2 linked regions of the Lepisosteus oculatus genome follow. Each later gene encodes a partner of the first gene's protein in a complex. Links are inferred from orthologs where the notes say so. Each region holds a gene or a part of one and is shown on either strand. Other genes may lie near its edges.

What was found. Proteins that work in one complex are often made in the same cells at the same time.
Region 2: the proteins of agk (region 1) and timm10 are in contact, whole or in part, in a cryo-EM structure (PDB 7CGP), measured with the Homo sapiens proteins. The link is inferred for Lepisosteus oculatus from reciprocal best matches to the Homo sapiens genes AGK and TIMM10. Residues at the interface, in NP_060708.1 of Homo sapiens: Phe49, Gly50, Asn51, Gln52, Leu53, Ile54, Pro55, Pro56, Val60, Ser91, Gly92, Met93, Asp94, Val95; in NP_036588.1 of Homo sapiens: Glu40, Glu42, Leu43, Ser44, Lys45, Gly46, Ser48, Arg53.

The regions. Positions count from the first base shown.
Region 1 is NC_090702.1:8,697,678-8,704,755, reverse strand, and holds the start of agk (acylglycerol kinase, mitochondrial), read right to left. Parts: upstream 3,058-7,078; 5' UTR 2,893-3,057; coding exon 2,783-2,892; intron 2,416-2,782; coding exon 2,376-2,415; intron 1,707-2,375; coding exon 1,627-1,706; intron 1,507-1,626; coding exon 1,431-1,506; intron 1,333-1,430; coding exon 1,240-1,332; intron 1-1,239. Other genes in the region: nuclear pore complex protein Nup205, read left to right, coding at 3,736-3,763, 6,490-6,632. UniProt on the Homo sapiens protein: Lipid kinase that can phosphorylate both monoacylglycerol and diacylglycerol to form lysophosphatidic acid (LPA) and phosphatidic acid (PA), respectively. Does not phosphorylate sphingosine. Phosphorylates ceramide.
Region 2 is NC_090701.1:41,476,653-41,483,712, forward strand, and holds timm10 (mitochondrial import inner membrane translocase subunit Tim10), read right to left. Parts: upstream 2,252-7,060; 5' UTR 2,123-2,251; coding exon 2,052-2,122; intron 1,190-2,051; coding exon 985-1,189; 3' UTR 571-984; downstream 1-570. Other genes in the region: uncharacterized protein, read right to left, coding at 4,808-7,060.

The DNA of each region.
Region 1 (7,078 bases):
ACAAAAAGAAGTAACGAAACAGGTCAGTGATTTTGATTTTGTTAAATGCTCCTCTCTATTTAAATGTGCTAACTGTTAGCAGATGCGCAAGGTAGCTAAGAAATGACCAGAGAAGCCAACCTTTCAGACTCATAGGGAGTCACAGAATCCGAACAAACGTGAGAGACAAAAACAGAAAATGGACAAAGAGCCAGAAAAAGCTGCCGAGCAAAGCAGCATTGGAGCTGACAGTGGAAGCCAAACAGAGCCAAAGTGAACAATCTTTCTTCTGTTAGTATGAGTTTAATTTTCTGGAGAGGAAAATAAAGGGCTGTCATGTTATTTTTCACAATCATGTGCTGGCAGTTTTTTTATAATCAGCCTGTAACAGAGTTAAAATATTTTTTCAGACTCATCAAGACATCCCCGTTACTTATGAAGATCAGTGAAAGACCTTCTGTGCATTATTAAGATGTGACACATATGATATGTGATGTCTGAAACGATTATTTTTTACAAAATTGATCAAAACTCTTAAGACTCTATAGACAACATGAATAATTAAATTTGAAAGGGAAATGGGAAATGCATTTTAAAAATTGCATTGTCTAAGAAAGGGGTCAGTGTGCTTGTTGGCTCAGCATGGTTACATGCTGCAAGATGCATATTATAACATTTAATTCTTTATGTTGTTTTAGCTGAGTTGAACATAACTATTGCCACATGTAACCATGTTGAACAATGCAAAATTTTAGAACTCTTTCCTAAAACCGCCCTTTCAAATTCAATTCTTCATCTGACTTTATCAGACATGTTTTCAATGTCTAAAAGACACCTTCAAATGAGCTGTAGCTAACATATTCATCCTTTTGTAGACATACAGTATTTGGATGAGCTTGGAATATTTGCAGAATAAAAAATTAAGCACAGTCAAAAACATTTTTGCAAGCTTTAATACTTGGGGGGCGTGGGCTTGATTCAAGACTGGAAAGCCTTCTGGGTGGAGTCTACACATTTCAAATGTTGCAATCTAGAGATGCTCAGGTTTCCTTCTCCTGTCCAAATGAATGCTGGCCAGGTTAACTAGTGCCTCTAAAATGACCCTGTGTGCCTGCAATGGACAGGCATCCCATCCAGAAAGCAGCCTCTCCATGTGCCTCCTGATTTGCTCCCCTCCTACCAGGAATAAGTGACTTGATGGATAAGGAGCATCATCAGGTCCATCAGTAAATGCAAGTGATTAGAAACACTGTGCTGTACCTCCTGTAGTGTCCCATCTCCCCCTGCCACAATGAGGAGATCAGTATGTTCCATCAGGTCCATCAGCTTTTTTGCCTGGCCTTCATAGTCTGTCTGGGAGACCAAAGCAGCAGACGTGTTGACATGCCGAAACTCAGTGAGCTTTAGAAATGCAGAGACTTTTAATACGATGACCAGAAAAACCTACATACCTTTACAAGCGTAACCTCCATGCCACCCAAGTGCAGAATGGGGGCTGCATTTTTCTCAAACAGGCTGGTGGCTTTTCTGGAAAGGAAAAGTCCCAGATAGATGCTTAAAATGTCGTGCAGCTAACAAGCAAGGAATTGTAGTTCATACTTCTGCAAATGCATTCCGTAGTTTGGCATGATTGTCCCTTTATCTTACCCGCTGCAAGCTGCAGGGTTGAGAATCACAGTGGCTTTTTTCACTTGAACATGTGCAGGAATCCCCTGGTGACCATACTCCTAGAAATGAAAAACACAGCTTTGACATCAGTCTTGACAGTGCTAGTTATTTTTGAGGGGGGGGGGGAAGAAAACTGTACCTGGAATTTTTTTCATTGTTGCAAAAATAACTTAAAAATTGTGATGACCAAGATTATTTTGTATTATTATTCATTATTACATGTTTTCTTATATTTTTTGTTTCTTTTCACTAGTTCATCCAAATTGATTAATGCCATCTATTTATTTTCCCAAAACAATTAGTTAAAGCAAAACTAAAGATAAATTGCTTATGGCTTGAAAGAACTTAATAGTGAGTGTTGTATCCTTCTGTTCTTCATGTAATCTGCTCTTTTATTATATATTTTTTTAAAAGCAGATATAGTGATACAGTTCAACATCATTCATATCTACAGCAGCAAAAAGCAAATAAGCAGAAACCTAGTGTATTCTTTACCATGACACTTTTTCTTTTCTAGTGCCAATATGTAAGTACAGAACCCAAAACTTAATGTTTGTAGCTAGTCTTGTTGTTTCCATTAGACTAGTTGTATGCTTCTGCAGAGTAATATCCATACCTATTGTCTAGCTTTACAGGATGCTTCCCATAACCGTTACACGAAGCCAATCACAACTACATGCAACACACAAAAACAGAAATGTACACACAATACATACAGAATCTCTTACCCGGGCTTCCTGACAGGCTGCCCGCCGCAAAAGATTGTCGCTAGAAAGAACAGATTCAGAAATGAGGAAACCGGTACATTTTTTTTTACATTCTGCAGATGTTTTTAATACATCTGGGACTTCTTTTTACAAAAATGTTACATATGTGTTGCAAACAATGCTGTACATTAGCAGCACAATCATATTAACATTGTTTTAGATAAGTGCTTGGCAATTAACATACTAATTGTTCTAGGGTCGAATGTCACTGCACCCAGATATAACCGAGCTGAGCAAACAAGGACATTATGACCCCTACTTTGTTAAACAATACGAATTTTAAGACAAATTCTAAATATGCCCAGATTCCGATATATTATACACGTCTTTTGTATAACATGATAAATTATTGCACAGTAGCTATGTACCAGTGTTTTCCATAGAGCCAGTGTCCACCGTAGGATACCACACAGACCCCGAATACAGACTTCTTCCAGTGATTTCTCAAGGTCTGCAAGATTTTCAGCACCCGTGCCATGAGGAGGAAGTTAGTGACCTGTCACCAGACAACTCCGTCAACACCCTATCTAAATATAACACTATCAAGACATTAAAAACAAACAATTGCCCTTTCCCCACAGCTCACTCCGTTCTCACATGCAACCTCTAATAGTGCAGCAGCTAAAACAGTCCCCATGCGCCGGAAATATTTCTTTAGTTCCCACACTGTAGGCACGGTACACAAATCAGCGCTTATGGTTTTATGTCATGAAGACAACGAATACAAAATTGTTTTTTTTCGAAGTACAGTCTGTTTATTACATACAGTGAATTGAAAGCGTGTGGAATCTTTTTTTGTGTAATAAAATATCCATTAGTCTCACTATAAATGTCAGCACAGCTCTTCTGTCATTTATAGGGGACTTATTTATGTCCCCTATGTTTTAAACAAAAACAGACACGCATATAAACAATGTATATATATATAAACATATCTTCTTTCTAAAGCACACCAAAGCCTGAATAGGTTTTTGTTGTAAGACACGCATTATAAATCTACAGAATTGATAAAGCATTTTTTTATAGCCGGAGAAGACTACATTTCCCGATATAAAAAACGTGTTAATCTTTCTTCCGACATTCATACTGGACCCCGCCTGAACAGAAATTTAGAATGGCACTAGAAACGAGCAACAAATTATGTTTACTTGTAAAATATGCCTTTGATTCCCTGTGGAAAATTATTTCGTTGTCCACAAATGAAAACAAACACCAATGAAGACGAAATATTTTAACACTACAGCTTTAAGAATATAGCTTTTATATTTACTCAGGCATGCATGAGACACCCCTTGTCTATAGAGCCTGAGTTGACTCCAACATGGCTGCGCAGATGGCGGTAAATTCAGGTATATTCATTTTAAAATGTATATATGTATTAAATAATCATATTAAGGACATAAAGTAATAAAAACAGTCCGTAATAACGGTGCGTCTTAAATATATAACACACATTTTCGTATAACTGTTAAATATTTATAGAAAAAGCGACCAGTAATACCACCGGCAGCATTTCTTGTGTTGCATGGGCACACTAGTTCTTGTGATGAGCCATGCTATTGCAGAAGCGGTGTTAAAAGAAAGCTTAAGAATACAATCGAAGAACAAATGCATGCGCCCCACAGTCGTTCAAATAGGACATCTTTTCGTGTCGGGATAGGAAAGTAGCTAGATGTGATCGGGAGAAGTGCCTCTTTGCTGTTGACGGAAGTTTTGCGTTGAGCTATTTTGAAACGAATCTGAAACTAATCCTGCTGGTTGTGTGGTTGTGATTGATGATATTTATTTATGTTTTTGCATTGTACTTCACCTGATTTGTTAATGATTCATATAAAACAATAACAGAAACAACGCCAGTATTGTCAGTCGTAATTAAGAAAATTACGTAGCGTTATTCGCTTTATTTAGAGTTTTGCCAGTACTGAATGTGAAATTTAGAAAAGGTGCATTTTTTTATTTGGATAGATTAGGGTATTCTCTGAACAACTTGACGCATGGTTTTGCGTCAGTGAGAAATCACTGTAACGACATGAACTGGTCAGTGGAGATTGACAACGTACTGTATGTATTCTTAAGTAATGTATTGGGATGAATTTAGACACCTGCTGACAGTTCACTATAATGCCATTATTCTTGCACGGGACCGCTTGTCTTGATTGTGTACGATTCTTAAGAATTTGCATTTCTTTATTGTGCGATTTGAGGCTTGAATATAGAACCGCGTTGTTAGCACGCGAGGGGAATCATTTTTGTTGCAGTTAAATGTTTTGTTCCTTGTATTTTGTTAAATTAGTACTATTGATTATGTGTATGTACAGTAAACCCTCGGATTAACGGACTAACAAGAGGGGAAAAGGGGTGTCCTTAATTGACGAATGTCTGTCAGATCAATTATGACGTTTTTCTGTCCCAAGACACACATGTATGCATATAAACTGTACTATACGTTTTATCTGAATAGTTTGTCTTATTTTTGACATTTTTGATCCTAAATATACAAGCTCCATTTAATAAATCATACGTATACGTTATAATATTCGCTAAAGTTTACGAAAAACAGATAAGCAATTGACTTTACTCCTACAGAGCACCTTTGACGTTCCTGAATTTTAAAACTATGTAGTATTTGTTTTTAAATCCGGTAAATTGATGGTTTACTGTATACGCAAAATACACTTTAAATGTCTGTAGTATCTTTACTGAATGTCTGAATAAAAGAACGAGAGAGATGCACAGATATGTATACTTTGAGTACATTGTACGCACAGAAAGAAGACTGTCATGCTGCTCTGATGTTTTTAATCTTACAAAACGTAATTTCGGATGACGTTCTGAAGATTGTTCCATAAATATTTTTCTTATATTTTGCTCACATCACAAGGGAAAATTTCATAAAATATTTTTTATTCAGGGTGGTTTGCATTGCTGCCTCACAGTCCAGGGTGTATCCCTCCTTGCACCCGTTGCTTGCTGGGATAGGCTCCAGCTCCCCTGCGACCCTATATTGGAAAAAGACGTTAGAAAATGGATGGATATTTTGTTTCAAGGGAGATGGCGAAAAGTCTAAAATGATTAGGTGTTCTAATACTTCTATTACTTAATCAGAATTATGATCAAATAAGTGGGTGCTGCATTTCAGTTTTGCATAAAGTAATGGGACTCTGCATTATAGAAGGCAAAAAATTACTGTGTAATAAGCCTGCACATAATAGAAGATCAGGTGGTGAAGTGAGAAATCGCTTAATTTGAATGAAGTAAAAACTTTAGGTAATTGAGATTTTGCAAACCCAAGATTTTGCATAGACAGTATTTACCATATTTACCATACTGGGGTGTTGGTTTGTAAATTCAAACCAACAGCCCAGTTCCTTGTCTAGCTTTTGCTATCAGATAAATCAGGCTACAGGGTGGTAATATTAAGGTATGCAATGTGAATAAAAATACATTGAATATTGAGACCAATCTAAGTCACCTACAGCTGTAACAATATAAAGTCTACACACATGATACAGAAAAGACAGCTGTATCCCTAATTACAAATCACTGTTTTCAATTAACATTGAAAAAACAAGGAAATGTTTTTGAAGTTCAATCCTATCAGGGCAAGATGCATCTACTTCCTTCTCAGGTCACTTCTGATATTAAGACACTTGTTGTTTCAGTCTCGTACTGTCAGCTTAATTCACAAGCTGTTCTTCTGAAGTAAAAATGGAGAACGAAAATTAATTCACCTTTGACTTCCATACATAGTTAACCATATATTAATTTGAATAAAGCACATAGGATTAGCAAAGAATAGGTGATGCAGTGCAGATGAAAATGTTTGGAATGTGGCACAGCTTTTTTATTGTTAGGAATTAACCTTTAATTGTTAGGGGCACTAAATTAAAAATATTAAAAAGGCACCTGTTATTATTACAGTACAACGTACACAAGTACTGTCTTTTCGGTACTTTGTTTGTTTGAGGTGATGTCTAGGTTTTTTCTCCCAAAGAGAGAGGTGTTAGTTGCTGTACTTCCTGCTGATGGGGATGGGTTTTGCTTGGCCTGAGCTGACCTCCTCTGCCCCTTTTAGGAGCCAGTCTGTGGGGGCCGTTCAAAGAGTTCTGGGAGACAGTGGTCAGTGCCATCTGGAGGAGGCAACCAGAGGCCGTGCATCTCCTGGACCTGATGCTGAAGAAACACAAGCCCCACTTCATCTCACTCTTCAAGAACCCGGTAGGGTGTGAATTCTTGATATGTTTAACGTGTGGTCACAGCGGCGTTCACATGCTGAATGCCTTTAGACAATGTGTGGAGGCAATAAAGACGGCAAGCAAAATTTCAGGATGTCTCATTAAAAGTAGGTAGCTGCCTCAGCATGCGTAGGCTGCAAAGGAACAAGTTAGTGATTATTCCATGCTGAAAAGAGAAGAAAATAAATATGTTTCGGCTGTTGTTTCTTTTCTTCTCTTTTCAGCATGGAACGAACCTTTACTTTGTTCCAATGCACTGTTATGAACGTCTTTAGACTTTTGGGCGAAAATGTGGTAACCATCTTGCAGATAAGATGTTGCTTCTTGAAGATCTAAATACAGAGCCCTTTTGACTCTTCAGTGACATTGACAAAGGAAGTTTTAACTATCTAACATATTTTCTGCATTCTGTCTTTGATAAGCTATAAA
Region 2 (7,060 bases), on another chromosome or scaffold:
TGAAGTCTAGGTAACGGTGTCATCACACATACGCTGGCAAATAGTCTCCAGCCAGCAAAACTCAATTCAGACCTACAGACAAACCTGTAGACTGAAGTAACTGAGTCTCCTTCCACATGAAGAGAGAAGAACAAAAGGGGACCTGAGTAATTAACCTCTCAATGGAATCAAACAGTGAAACAGAGGACAGGAGTGGAAACTAAGAGGAAGTATATTTAAAACTAAAAACAGGCGCAATGTCTTTAAACATAAGGGTGCCGGGAGTCTGGAACAAGCTGCTCAGTCATGCTGTTGAAGCCGATACCCTGGCTTCTCTCAAGACACAGCTGGATGAGATCTTCCGGTCAGGACAGGAGACTTCTTTACACAAAGGGTGGTGGGAGCGTGGAACAAGCTACCCAGCCATGCTGTTGAAGCCGGCGCCCTGGTTTCTTTCAAGTCTCATGAGATCCTAAGATCAATGAACTACTAACAACCAAAATGGGTGGACAGACTGAATGGTCTTCTCTTGTGTGAAACCATGTCTTGTGGTCTTGTCTACACAACAAATCACTGTGCTCATGCAGAGGAAACAATTTAATAAAGGTTTTATTTACCCAAAAAAAATACCAAACTGTCCCAGTCAGGGACAAAGCAGCACAGATACACTAACAAATGCAAACAAGAAGTTGAAAAAAACATCCAACACCATACAGCATCAACTTCCATAATAACATGAAAACTGCACAAACTTCAGTCCTATTATAAACCATGAGGAACTGCGGCGTTAAGTCCGACACAGAGAGGGGTTAATACAGAACAGACAGACAAAAACTGGAAACTACAGCACACTAACATTGCAGTGAGAGAGAGGCATACGGATAGAGACTGTAACGTATTAGCCCAGCTCTCTTAGACATGAATGTTCTGAAATGTTCAGTCCCCTAGTGTAAAGTGTACTGTACTGACAAACCAGGCCCCCTGACCCCCTGTCCTTCCCCACAGCTACACGGTGGCTGGGGCTCCCTGCTGCACCCTCTTCATCAGCTCTTCGTCCTGCACAGACAGCTCGGTCAGCTTGCGGCCCATCCTCTCGTGGACGTCCAGGTACTTGGCCACACAGCGGTCCAGACACACCGCCTCGCCCTTGGACAGCTCTGCTTCCTTGTAGTGGGGGGGGACACACTTCCGGTGACACGCACTGGTCATCCTGGCAGAGAGAGAGGGGTTAATACAGGCCAGACACACTGACTGGACACTACAGGACATTAACACTGCACTGAGAGAGAGGGGTTAATACAGTCCAGACACACTGACTGGACACTACAGGACATTAACACTGCACTGAGAGAGAGGGGTTAATACAGTACAGACACACTGACTGGACACTACAGGACATTAACACTGCACTGAGAGAGAGGGGTTAATACAGTCCAGACACACTGACTGGACACTACAGGACATTAACACTGCACTGAGAGAGAGGGGTTCATACAGTACAGACACACTGACTGGACACTACAGGACATTAACACTGCACTGAGAGAGAGGGGTTAATACAGGCCAGACACACTGACTGGACACTACAGGACATTAACACTGCACTGAGAGAGAGGGGTTAATACAGTCCAGACACACTGACTGGACACTACAGGACATTAACACTGCACTGAGAGAGAAAGAGAGGGGTTAATAAACTTGTACCCACAGAGAGCCGTTAGCAGAAAACTGGTTGTTACAGATCTCTTTAAGTGTAAGGGATTACAAATACTGGCGTGGCGTCAGGACCAGATTAATAACATTACGTGTGGAAAAACAGAAGCCACACAAAAAAAGGACTCCTTTTGCCTATATTTCTCCAAACTCAGGCAAACGCTCTCGCGGAAAACGAACTGCACAGCTTGTTTTAACAGCGCAGTCTTGTTCTTGTTCCGCATGAAGCTCGAGAGCAGCTCTTGCTGGGTGTCTTAATGACAGTTTTCAGAAAAAGAAACATGCATGTACACAACAGACCCTCTCGCACACAGGTAGGCTTATTTCTCGATATAATATCACGACAAACATCACTGTACCGGTTGTACATGTCGGCCATCATCTCCACCTCCAGCTCTGCGGCGAGCTGCTGAGCTTTCATCGGGTCCATCTCTTCGGGACAGAATCGTTTACAACCACCGGCATCCGCTGCGTTTCACCTTCACTAAACGCACATGTATCCCCTCTAGTGAACCGCTTTCCTGTTTCCGCTGTCAAAAACAACCACTGGGCCATCGCCAAGAAAAACACCATAGACACATTAAGGGTCTCTTTGGGTGCATCTTACGGGAGCGGGTGACGCTTGGTGGCGATCGCCAGGAACTGCTGTTTGGGAGGAATATCACAACATGAATAAGTAGTCCCATACGAGATTGGACACCTCCGCCCATATACGAGAATACCATTCCCTAATTCAGCAAGCCTAACAAGCAGCGCTTCACGACACCCCGTGGAAATCTCTGAACTTGTAGAAATGAATATTTATTACGGCCTGCGTTAATTCAATCGAAATTCTAACTCCTGTTAGGATGAAAGTTTGGTCAGAAGACCAATTCAGAGTTAAAACAGTCTTTATCGTACATATTGTTTAAAGGAATAGTGCCAGCACGTCTCTACAACTTGATTTTGAAACCAGTGACTTTTTAAACTTTGCAAGAGAAATTTTACAACGTGTAAAGATGTTTTTTTAATGTAGCCTGGAGTAAAACACAGGGGCCTTATTTTTAATTTTAAACTAGTCTATGTGGCATGCCTGTTTTACACTCCACACTGACTTTGTAAAAGGAAAGATGCTGACCTGACAGATGTACAGACTGGTGGACTGCAGGTACAGAGGCAGGTAACAGGTTTTCAGGGTCAGTAGTATCAAAACAGGTGTAACAAGTCTCAGGTGTGCTGTGGACAGGTCTCAGAGGTGTATTGTTGTGGGTCTCAGGTGTGCTGTGGATGTGTATTGGGTGTGTTATAGACAGGTCTCAGGTGTGCTGTGTACATGTATGGGGTGTGTTATAGACATGTCTCAGGTGTGCTGTGGATGTGTATTGGGTGTGTTATAGGCATGTCTCAGGTGTGCTGTGTACATGTATGGGGTGTGTTATAGGCATGTCTCAGGTGTGCTGTGGATGTGTATTGGGTGTGTTATAGACATGTCTCAGGTGTGCTGTGGATGTGTATTGGGTGTGTTATAGACATGTCTCAGGTGTGCTGTGGATGTGTATTGGGTTGTGGAAAGGTCTCAGGTGTGTTGTCAGTCTCAGGTGTGCTGTGGCTCTCAGGTGTATTGTTGGTGGTCTCAGGAGTGTTGTGGATGGATCAGCCAAGGCTCTCCAGGTATTACAGTGCTCTCTTGTGACCACCTGAGTGATTGCAGGCATGCAGTGCCGGCAGTGAGCAGGACTCCTCTCCTCCAATCAGCGCTGATCCTCTCGTACGGGTTGGCACTCCCTGTGACATGCTGACAGGAAGACGGGCCAATCAGAGGAGTCTGATCTCCTCCTTCCTCAGTCTCCCCCGTGTGCGGTAACAGGGTTTGAAGCTGAACGCCGGGATGTGGAAAACACAGGACTGAATGCTCCAGATCAGGTGGGTTAAAGAAAATAAACAATTGTTTTTATTAAGAAAAATAAAGACAACAGACTTTGCTTGTGAAGCCTGCCTCCTTCGGAACACAAGAGTTAGTGTATCCACACACTAATAACAACAGAGCTCCACGCAGACAGAAAGCTGCAGGAGGGGGCAGGGAGACTGAAAACACAAGCCAGAAGTGAGGAGAGAGGGACGATATTACTTGTTGATCTAGTTCACTTTGTATGGAAATCTCTAAATGCCACATTAATGGGGGTTATGGGAAGGTTATCTTTAACTTAAGGTGATCACAAGCACTGCGATTCCTGAACAGGCTTCATGGGTGGGGGAGAAGCTGGAGCTGACAGAGGTATTTTCCACATGTCCAGGGCAGGCCTGTTACACTGGGCAAGAGGAAAATCCACTGCTACCCTGACATGGCCCTCTGTTCCACTGAAGGATGTAACGGACACTCTAGGGCAAAAACCCACGAAGAGACAATATGGCACAAGTGGCACTTACATCCTACTGCTGCATCTCCCAGTTCCAGCAGCAGTGTCCCAGTCGGGGAGAAGTCTAGCATGCGGGTAGCTGAAAGTCGCGTCTCACAGTTCACGTCAAAAACGTCATGCAAGGGGCGTGAATCTGACAGCCACGTTAGTTTATTCAGACTTGCCAAAGAGCACGCTTTACAACATAAGGGCCTGTCCAAAACACTAAATCCAACAGCTGGAGCTGAACGTCCTGGGAAAACTAAAGACGGACAAATGATTTTCTGGTTCTCTTGAGGATTTCCCTCTGCCACACAATTCTTTTCAAACACTAGAACCAAAAGGAACACAAGAACAGTGAAACATCACACTCTTCTTCATAGTGCTGGAAACAACCCCAGACTCTCATACAAGACGCCAGATCTGTTCTCAGCGCTGATCTGGCTTTAAACAGGATGTCTCTGCAATAATTAACAAAATACGTAGGAAATCAATTTCTTGATTGCAAAATCAACAAATAGGTAGGTGTTATAATAAATTTGCCCACGATTCCTTGTTCTGCTGAAGCTGTGCACACCTACAGAACTTGTTTGAAACATTACGTCAACTATAACGAGATTGAGCGTGCATGAACTAAGAGCACAACATAACATAACACAACACAACAACACATGGCTAAAGCTCTCGGACATTCACTCACCTGCCCAGGGACCTGGTAAAGGCAGGTTCTCCATCCCTCCCTACCCGACCACATCGATCTCCAGCTCCCTGTCCTCCTCTTCCTCCTCCTCCTCCTCCGACTGGTCTCGGGATCCAAGGTCACAGTTCTGCCTCAGCACTGCCAGCAGGAAGTGACACGGCAGGGGGGCTGGGCTGGAGCACTCAAGGATCTCCACTTCCTCTTCTTCTTCTTCGATGTCCAAGCTGCCACTTGAGCCCTCAGTGGCCCGGAAGTCCTGAAGGGGGGCGGGAGCAGGGAGCCGTTCTGTTGGCCAAACCTGAAGGGTGCTCTCGGACAAACTCGGCCTGCTCTTCGCCTTCCACGCAACCTCATGGCTCCCTTCTCTCTTCCTTCTCTCTGTCCTGATTCTGTCCTGCTTTGCTATCTCAGTCGGCCCCACCTTGCTTTCTGTGTCGAGACCCATCCTTGTTGCTGTCTCCATCTTTTCATCATCGCTCTCTTCAAAATACTTCTCCTCTCCTCGCTCTCCCTCCTTTCCTGGCTGAATCCTCCCTTGGGGCTCCTGACTGCCTTCTTCCCGACTCAGCCCTGCTCTGTGCATGACATCAAGAGAGGTATCAGACACCCCCCACCCTCTCCCAAACACACCCGATTCTCCTGTGCTGTTTCCGCAGGTGGGATGTTTCCTCTGCATATCCTGAAGTCCAGGGTCACTTCCTCCAAAACTGCTAACCGATGAATCGCGCTCCTCCTCACTCTTCTCCTGCTCTCTCTGTCCTTTGCCCCAGACACAGGCCCTCTCCTTGTTCAGCTCCGCCACCCCCTTCTTCCTCGCCCTCCTGTTAGCAATGCAGTTGCTAACAGGAGGTCCCCTGTTTTCCTGCACCCCATCCTCTGCGGCTAGCACCATGTGTTTGGAGCGCGCCGCGCTCCCCGTGTCTGACACGGTCTCTATGGCCGTCACACCGGAGCCATGATCTGCCCCACCTCCATTCCGGACCTTGAGATCCAGAGGCGGCACAAGTCCCTTCCCACACACAACTGGAGACGCACGGTTTTTCACACGCACCCCCTTTTCCCGTGGGCTGCTGACACCGCTTCTCGAAAGCTGCAGATCAGCTTCCTGTCCTGTCTCCACCTTGTCTATTGCACTCGGAATGCTATTTTGGTCTTTAATTTGAGGCTGATCCTTTCTTCTCCTTCCTGCATGGCTCGGTGTTCTCTTCAAGATATAGGCATCTCGTGCATCCCGCCCTCTCCTCTTGGGACCACATCCCACACACAGTGCGGCCCTGCTATCCCATCTCACTGGAAGACCTGCCCCAGGACTGAACACTTGCCCAGACGTCCTCGTCCTCAACTTCCTCGAGACGCCCTGTGCCCCACCCTTTTCTTCGCTTCTCTCCCTCCCTCGTGCTGACAGATCCATGGTCAGAGGGGGGCCTTCTACTTCTCCACTACAAACCTTGCCATTCCTCACCTGGGAACCTGGCATTCCTTCTCTCCGAGCGCTCTTTCTGTTCTCTATAGGCACTAGCTTTTGTACAGATACCGCCTCCAGCCCCTCCTGCTCCCTGGATGAAAGGTCTGGACAAGCATCGGCATTTAAGTGAGAATCTCTGGCCTTTTCTCCACCACCACTAGGCTCCGGGTTTGTTTCGGCCTGGGCCATGTCCTCCAGAGTCGTGGACATCTCTGGAGCATCCCGGCTGGGTCTGATCTTCCCAGTCTTCTTCAAGGGTACTCCTCTCCTTCTCTTCACGGGCCTGCCTGGGTCCCACGCTCTGCCTCCCATGCACCCCTTGACTCTCCTTTCCTCCTGCAGGCCATGGGTTTTGACATCCCCTCTTGTGACTTTCCCTGCATCCCTCTTCTCTGATTTCAGGTCTGCCGTGTACATACCGCCCTTCCTCGGTTGGCCTCTCCACGTTCTCTCTAATTTTACCTGGGTCTGTGAAGGCTCCGTCTCTCTCTTTCGCTTCCTGTGGCACCTTCTCAACTTTTCCATTTCTTCCTGCCTCTGCTCTTCCAGCTCCCTGGACCTCTTCCTGGTTAGGATGAAGGAACGACTGGGCGGCACTTCCTGGACAGCTGTGTCTCTCTCCGACACTGGTCCCAGCTCCCCTCCAGAGCTGGTTTTCTGCTCTCCCTCCGGGCACCGCCTCTCGGAGGACACAGGGGCTGCCGCAGGAGGCTCAGGCACCATTCCCACGGGAACGGCCTCCTCCGCCTCACAGCCGTGCCATTCTGAAGGTCCGCTGATGCCATCCCGGCCACTCTGCTCCAGCTGTCGAGGTTTGGGACTGGTACT